Rattus norvegicus: one gene and its partner. The protein of the gene in region 2 interacts with the protein of the main gene of each other region in a pairwise test. Links are inferred from orthologs where the notes say so. Each region holds a gene or a part of one and is shown on either strand. Other genes may lie near its edges.

Region 1 (4,246 bases), on a different chromosome or scaffold from region 2:
ATGAAAAAAGCTAATTATTTGGAATATAACTTAGTTGATTCACATTATAATTACAGCTTACATTACTGAAGTTCAAAAACATACTTTTTTAAAAAGAAACTTTTAATTGTGTTTTCAAAAGGGGCAGCAACTCAACTCAGGACAGCAAAGCACCATAGGAAAAAGGCACAAAAATCCAAAAAAGCCTGAAGGCCAGCAGCAAGACAATAATTTATTCGGACTTCAACACACAATTAATTAATCCTTACTATGCGCCAAGCACACCTTTACAAGCAGGCCAGGCAGGCCCAATCACCTAGAATTTTTAAGAAACAAAAACAACAACAAACCTGTTCTACGCTAATAAACATCTCTCCCAGAAGCCAAGCTATAACACCAAAGCCACTGAAAACTCCTAAGAAACACAGTGCTCGTCACCTCTGTCTTTGTAGTTACCAAAGCATTTAATTTCAGGAAGTCCAATGGTGTCTTGATAAAATAATTAAATTTGAAAATATTAAATTTAATTTTTAATTTAAAATAAAATTAAAATTAATTGCCTTCATTGCTTTAAGGCATCAGCTACGTCTTCTTACTAGTTCCCATATCCCACTATCAGGAGTTTTAATTGTGGGATCTTTTTATTTAATAATGCAATGCACTTATTAAAAGTGCATTTGCTTGCCAGGTATACTTATTATTGTGACTGTTAATTATTCTTATTATTCTTATATTTACTAGACACCTGTGGACAAAAAGTAAAACCGCGCAACAGAGAAACCGCAGGGAGGCGGGGCTGTGCAGCCAGGCTCAGACAGGGCAGAGGCGCACTTGCGCAGTGGAGGCATACCTGAAGGGAGGGGCTGCGGCCCACAGTGCGCAGGCGCAGGCAGGCTGAGGGAAGGCGGGGCTCTAGGCCTCCTCAGAGGAGGAGCTATGGGAGGAGCTGGACATTAAGAGAGGCGGGACCTGGGCCGGCCTCCTAGGAGGAGGCGGGCTAAGGGAAAGGCGGGGCCTTGTCAGGCCGCCTCAGAGGAGGCGGGCCTTGAGGGCGGGGGCTAAGTAGGCTGTCCCAAAGGCATCAGCACTCGGGAGGTGGGGCCTGTGGAAGCATGTTCTGGAAAGGCGCGCGACAGGCGACGCGCGCAGACGAGGCGCGCAACCTCTCTGCAGATGAGACAAGGCTAGGATGGGCGGGGCAGGTCTGAGACTGGCTGCTACAGGGCTGCAGAATGTCTGCATGCCTCCCCCCGCCCCCCTACCTCCCCGACCCCTCCCAACCACCAAATTCCTTCCGTAGAGCAAGAGCAAACCCCCACCTCCCATCTCGGCTTCGGACCCACCCAGCAAACCGGACTGTCTCCACAAACTGTTGCTGGACACCAATTCGTGCCCCCGAGTCTATTGCACCGTCACCTCAATCAATCACCACTAGACAAGGCAGCCCATTCTGCCATCTCCAAAATCCAGCACCCCTCCACTCTACTGCCGTAAGCAGGAGTCCCGTGGGCAGAATGTTAAACACCAATTTTTGGCCTCTCAGGGCTCCATTTTGTCTACCACCACCACCATCATGCAGATGGACGTCTGACCAGAAAACGCAACGCGTTTTGATCCGAAAGGTAAACCTGTGTCGCCTCTTCCCCGAGGAGAGAGTTGTACTCTCTCGTCTTTCCAACGCTACACTACTTTCCGCGTAGCTCGAGTCTGCACGTCTTTTGCCTCTGCCGCAGTTTGTAGCGCATTTCTAAGCCCACTCTTGTTGCGCTTTTGCATTTTGTGACTCTCCTGCAGCTCGGAATTGAGTGCGTGAAGCAAGGAGTCGGTTTGTGTATCTCTGGAGTTCGGGCTGGTTTGTGGCGCATGAAGCGCCGGTTCGCCCGTTCGCCCGTTCGCCAGTTCGCTCGTTCGTACAGCGAAGCGCATGAAGCGCCCATTAGTACACTGAAGGCATGAAGCGCCCATTAGTACATCGAAGCGCATTAAGCACTCATTAGTACATCGAAGCGCATGGCGCCCATTAGTACATCGCAGCGCGTTAAGCGCCTATTAGACGATCGAAGCGTAAGAAGCGCCCATCAGTTCGTGCCGCATGGAGCGCCTATTAGTATTTCGTAGCGCATGAAGCGCCTATTAGTATTTCGTAGCGCGTAAAGCGCCTATTAGTATTTTGTAGCGCATGAAGCGCCCGTTAGTTCAGCACAGCGCAAGAAGCAGCCGTCTGCAGCGCAACTAAAGCGCTTATCCGTTTGTAGCGCGGCATTCAAGCGCCAAAGAGTAGCGGAGTAGCCAGCCACTTTGCAGCGCATTTGAGGAGCTCATCGCAATTCGGTCCGTAGCTCATGTGCGTCTGCAGCTCATCGCTGTCCGCAGCTCATGCGTCTACTGACCAATGCTGGACGCGAGTCATGGAAACCGAAGTCCCGGACCCAAAGCCGTGAAGACTTGCTTTCCATGCTCTCGTCTCAGGATGCGGCCACTGAAGGCAGGCGTGACAAAATTCGCGAGGAGATATTCTGGGGGCGCTACTTTATCTCCCGCAGCTCCTGGGAAGAAAAATCGGGGATTGCGTGTGATCATTTTCGGGTAAAAAAAAAAAAAATCCTCACCGCATACTCACCACACGAGGATCCTCTGCGATGACACGAAGGATGAGGGGTCCGGCGACGGCCGGGCCCACTGGGTGACCGCGGTCCGGAGAAGGCTCCGGACCGCAGCCCACTCAGCGGACCTTGGCGAAGCTTGGTGGACCTTCTCGGTTGGTGGCTCTCCTCAGGTCGTAGTTGGTCAGGATTCTTCGACACACACCAACTGAAGTTGGAAACGCGTGTACCGAGAGCCCGGACTGCTTGCCTTATATAGAGAGATCCTAGGAGGGGGGCGCCAAATCCCAGCGTGCTTCGCGAGCTGGCGGGGGCGGAGGGGGGGCGCGTGGGCGGGCGCCTGGGGGGATGGGTGGGGGCGCGGCATGCACCGCTTTGGCCCGCCGCTAGGGGCAGTATGGGCTCAGGAAGGGGGGTGCACGATGCTGAACTGGCCAAGCTGGGAGGAAAGAAGAAAGGGAGGGGAGGGGAGGATCGAGGACGGACGGCTTAGGCAGGCCAAGAATGCTATTATTCTGGTGGTGGGAGCTGGGAGACCCTTGTGCTTGGACGGGAAAGGGTCGGGGGACACTCAAGATGAGCCCCGCGACCACTGGCACATTCTTACTGACAGGTTAGTGGCCTGCGCGCGACATGGAGGTTCAGGGGCCCACAGGCCGCCGCCTCACCCTCCCCCACTCGGGTTCTGGGGTACCAGGGCGTGCCCGAAGGGTGCTAGTCCTGCTCTATGCCCAATGCGCCCCCCCAGCACCCCTCTTTCAGGACACCCTTCAGCCCACCTCCTGGGCCAAGTGGGTCCCTCCCCAGGCTTGACCCCTGGCCTTCTCTTTCTGCACCCCCACGGCCCCTCCCTGTCCAGCAGGGCAGGAATTCAGCTCCAGTTTCCATTAAGGAGTGTACCCCACCTCGCCCCCCCACAGCCTGGTGGTGGACATCTTCTGATCTCTGGAACAGACTTGGGGGTCGCTGCCCCTCGGGGTGGGGGTGGGGGTGGGGGGGTGGGGGCTTTACCCCACAATTGAGACTCTCTGGCCTAGATGTGAGGCAAAGGGCATGGCTGGCCAGCTGCTTATCTCTTACACAAAGATGTACGTCTTTTCTCATTTTCTGGAATCTGGTGGAGAGAAAGACCACCAAAATGTGACATTTAAAAGACCGAATCTCGCCCCCACCCCCACCCCGCTCCCTGCCTTTTTTTAAAGCGTATTTCCTGGTGGCGCGAACCTGATTTTTCTTAGGTTTTTACCGAACACGGAAGCAGGATCATGAAATTCTGGGAGCCAAACGGCGGTGTTCAGGTCAGGGTCAACCATGGCTGGGGGCCGGAGATGCTGCAAAAAGCACCCATTGCCCTACTAAATATGTTACGAAGGGAAATCAAGAACAATTGAAAACAGCTGTAGATGCTTCCAATGTTCTTGGCCGGCTTTGGAAGCTTTCAGCTACGGACTTTGTGAGGTGATTACAAGGTTTACACAGAGACCTCGGCTTCCCCCCCACCCCCGCGCCGTTATGTGTTTCTAAATCTTGTGGGTGAATGAATGTTTTGGGGCGCAGTAACTGTGGGTTCAAACCCTTGAAACAGGTCACCGAGACTAGCTCCAAGCATTTGCTTGGTTCGATTGATATAAACCTGTTTAAAAAAAAAATCTTTTTTAACGTTA
Region 2 (3,641 bases):
AGACAGATGGTTAAGTTGGGTGGAGGTAAACTGGTGCCTAGAAACTTGAAAATCAGACTGCAGAGTCAGTACCACACCACTGGAGCTAGGAAAGGATAAAATAACTCACCTTTTTTCACAAAGGAAAAGAATAATCAGCATTAATTAGTCATATTCCCAATGTCCTAATGGAATGAAAGTGGGAGGGAGAGCTGTCCAGTCTTTTCTGTGATTTAAAATAAAACATACTTCAAACAGTGGCATACAATCCTCTGCTCTAAAATACAGACCGGAACAGGAAACTACCTTTGGAGTTTATCCATCTTAGGGCCACAGGGTGAGGGTGTAGCTCAGGGTAGAGCATCTGCCAAGTGCTAGGCCCTACATTCAGTCCTCAGCTCCAGGGAAACAAAAAACAAAAACAAAAACCTAGAGCTAAAGTAAACACATTAAAATGTTTTTTAATTTGCCAGATAATCTTTTAATGAGAATTATAAAAGACCAAAAACATTTTTTTGCAAACTGCCTTTTTTTAAAAACAAATGATTTACTTTAATTACAAATACTGTGTATGATGATGCACTCTTTTGCAAAACCAATAAATACAAGAACCAATTTAAACATGTGATTTGCCCAAGACATTTGAAGAGAGGAAAAGCCTGATTATTTTATAATTTATAGTGATCAGAGTTTACTCCCTAAGCTAACCTTTCAGAGAGTAAGCCTGACCTGACGGCGTAGGACAGCAGTCGGGAGGCGAGACCATCCTGTACTTGCTTCAGCCTCGACGAGCTGCTCTGCTCCCTTTCCTTTCTGGAATTCCTATTTCCACAGAAGGGCTGAATTAAAAATGTCTAATAAATTGATTGAAGGAAAAGAAAGTATGTACTGAACACAAACTTCTGACATTAAGCAATTATGGATATCAAAAAGACGCTAACTTAAAAGGTACAAAAGTGAGAAAAACCTGAATTACAGAAAAGAAAGTCAAATTTATTTAATGAAAAACTAGAATAAAAATTAGCAAATACACACACACCAAAAAACAAAACAAAAAACAAAACAAAAAACAACCCCACAGCAGCACTGTGTGTTGACTCACAAGGGGAAAGCGGTGGCCCATGACCACGCAGATGGCTTGTCAGTTAAAGGAAAACCAACCACACACGTGCACGCATGCGTGCACAGACACACACCCCCAAAAAATTGTCAACAATACAATCAATCTACAACAAACACAAAGTTCAGAAATATTTTACAATGTTTCCTTTCTTAATACAAAAGATGCCCATCTTGGGTATATATATTTTTCAGTGGTTTACTGTTGAATTATTTTTAAATATATTAGTGTTACTACATGCAACTGTTTCCTGTATTAACAGCTTTTCTTTTTATTTACCTTCATGTCTAGCTTCTACCTACCAGGAGAGGTTTAGGTTGGCAAGCAGATGGGTGCCTTATTCTCTGTGAAGTCAAATGCAAATTTTAAACACTGGCCAGAAATATTTGATTGCCGTTTCAACACATGGAAATAGTTACATTGATGCCTAAATTGCCATTTTCTGCAAAGAGCTGTGCAATGCTGGTGTCAAACACTAGGCAGTCACTATTCATGATGGCTGTTGCAATTCCCTCATGAATAGACCGAGGGGTGGCTTCCCAAGTCAATCGCCGCCTATGACCATTCAGCTCAAGTCGATATGCAAAATTTTCAGCTTGCTTGCGTGTTCCTATCAGCTGTACAATCGCAAAGAACTGCTGATGGCCATCGTATTTTTCTTGTTTCTCCAAGACTAACATGAAATGAAAGCCAAAACAAGACTGCATCATCACCCAGTCAACAGCACCAGGAAGGTTAATGTCTGTAGCAAGGAAAACTATATCTTCTCCTTGCAGGGTGGTAATGGACTTGTGCTGATGCATCAGGTGGGGCATGACAGCATCCAAGGAGCCTTGCCACTTACAGGAAGCACCAGGGCAGGGGCAGGAGTAAGGCCTGAACTCACAGAGCTCCTCGTGCTCTGCCTTTTCGGTGTGCGGCAGAGTTATCTCACATCCAGAAGAGGCATATTTACAAGGGAAGAGTACGGAGTTGGCCACTTTCTCCATAGCCAAGTTGCGAATGGATCCCAACGGGCCCCGGCAGGTGGGACAACATGTAAGTTTGGGGCGACAGTTGCTACAAACAAGATGGCCACTCTGACACTGAAGAATAGGTGGCAATACATAGTCAAAGCAGACAGGACACTCGAAAAGACTCGCCAAGTCATTGTTGGATGCAGTTGTGCCAGTCAAGGCAGGTACCCTCTGGGATGGTGGACACTTTGAGGTGCCGGTGGGTAATGCTGTAGCAGTCTGACGGCTCATCTCTGTAAAGGAAAACAAGAAAATAAAAGGAAGCAGGGGGAAAGTTACAAATATAACACATTAGTAGATATGTATGTATACATGTCATAAATACTTGTAAAGCATACCACAAAATTTATCGTGAATAAAAGAATAAAATTAAGTAAATATAGTTTTAAATCCATATACAAATAAAATAAAAATTGAACGCTAAAGGTTAATTTTCTGGAGTTATATAATGAGTAAACTGTATTTCCAAAATGTTCTCCAGCATGTTTAAAATACTTTTTTGTTCTTAAAGCAGTGGAAATCTCTGGGTGGACTACACAGAATAAGAATCGCACCAGGCATTGTGGCCACACCTTTAACCCTTGCACTGCAGACACACATACAGGTGGGGATCAGGGAGTTCGAGGTCAGCCTGGTCTGCATACATAGTTTCAGGCCAAGCAGGACTACATATGAAGACCTAATTTCAAAAAAGTTCCTAAACAATAAAGAACTACAAAACTGTCTTTGTCTTAAGAACTTAAATACAGCTGGGCAAGATGGCACAAGCCTTTAACTCCCAACATTTAGGAGGCAGAAGAAAAGGAAAGAAGGAAGAAGAAAAAAAAGGAAGGAGGAAGGAGGAGGAGGAAAGGATGAGGAAGAGGAGGAAGAGGAGGAAGAGGAGGGGAAGAGGAGGAATATAAATTAAATACAGGGCTGGAGACTGGAGAGATGGCCTAGCAGTTAAAAACACTGGTTGGTCTTCCGGAGGACCAGTGTTCAAATCCCACCACCCAAATGGCTGCTCATTAGAGGCAGCCAGGGCACTCAAACATATTATGAGCAGATAGACATGCAGGCAAAGCACCCATTCACATAAAATAAAAACAAATCTTTTTTAAAAGAAGAAAACCTTAAATTACAATATAAACTTTATTTGGGCTGGACTTTTTTCCCGAGTCTCCACCTCCATCTATTTTTTCTCAAGTCTGAGTTTGCTCATAGCTTCAGGACCTACTGCTTTAGTCCTATGAAGTTCATATGCCAAAGACCATTAGAGCCGGGTCAACTCTTCCCAGCATGAACAGCATCATCACTAGAACTGTGCTCTGGGAATGGGCTCAGAGGTCACAGGGGAAGGAAACCCTGCCATCCTGTTATCTGCCTGCAGACGTCTACTCAGTCTTTTATTAAGGCAGCCAGGTATCACTTCTGTCTCCCATCAGTCAGTGCGTTCATCTGAAGACTGAAGGAATATAAGAAGTGGAGAAAACCACAGAAGATCAAACGCTGGGTGGGGCTGAACAAAGAGCTCCCTGAACCTG

The links. The genes of interacting proteins can lie anywhere in the genome.
Region 1: the proteins of Siah1 (region 2) and Peg10 interact in binary tests that used the Homo sapiens proteins (3 or more experiments, as listed by UniProt). The link is inferred for Rattus norvegicus from reciprocal best matches to the Homo sapiens genes SIAH1 and PEG10.

What each region holds. Positions count from the first base shown.
Region 1 is NC_086022.1:33,807,587-33,811,832, reverse strand, and holds the start of Peg10 (retrotransposon-derived protein PEG10), read right to left. Parts: upstream 2,808-4,246; 5' UTR 2,600-2,807; intron 1-2,599.
Region 2 is NC_086037.1:36,572,569-36,576,209, reverse strand, and holds the end of Siah1 (E3 ubiquitin-protein ligase SIAH1), read right to left. Parts: intron 2,349-3,641; 5' UTR 2,347-2,348; coding exon 1,498-2,346; 3' UTR 437-1,497; downstream 1-436. UniProt on the Homo sapiens protein: E3 ubiquitin-protein ligase that mediates ubiquitination and subsequent proteasomal degradation of target proteins.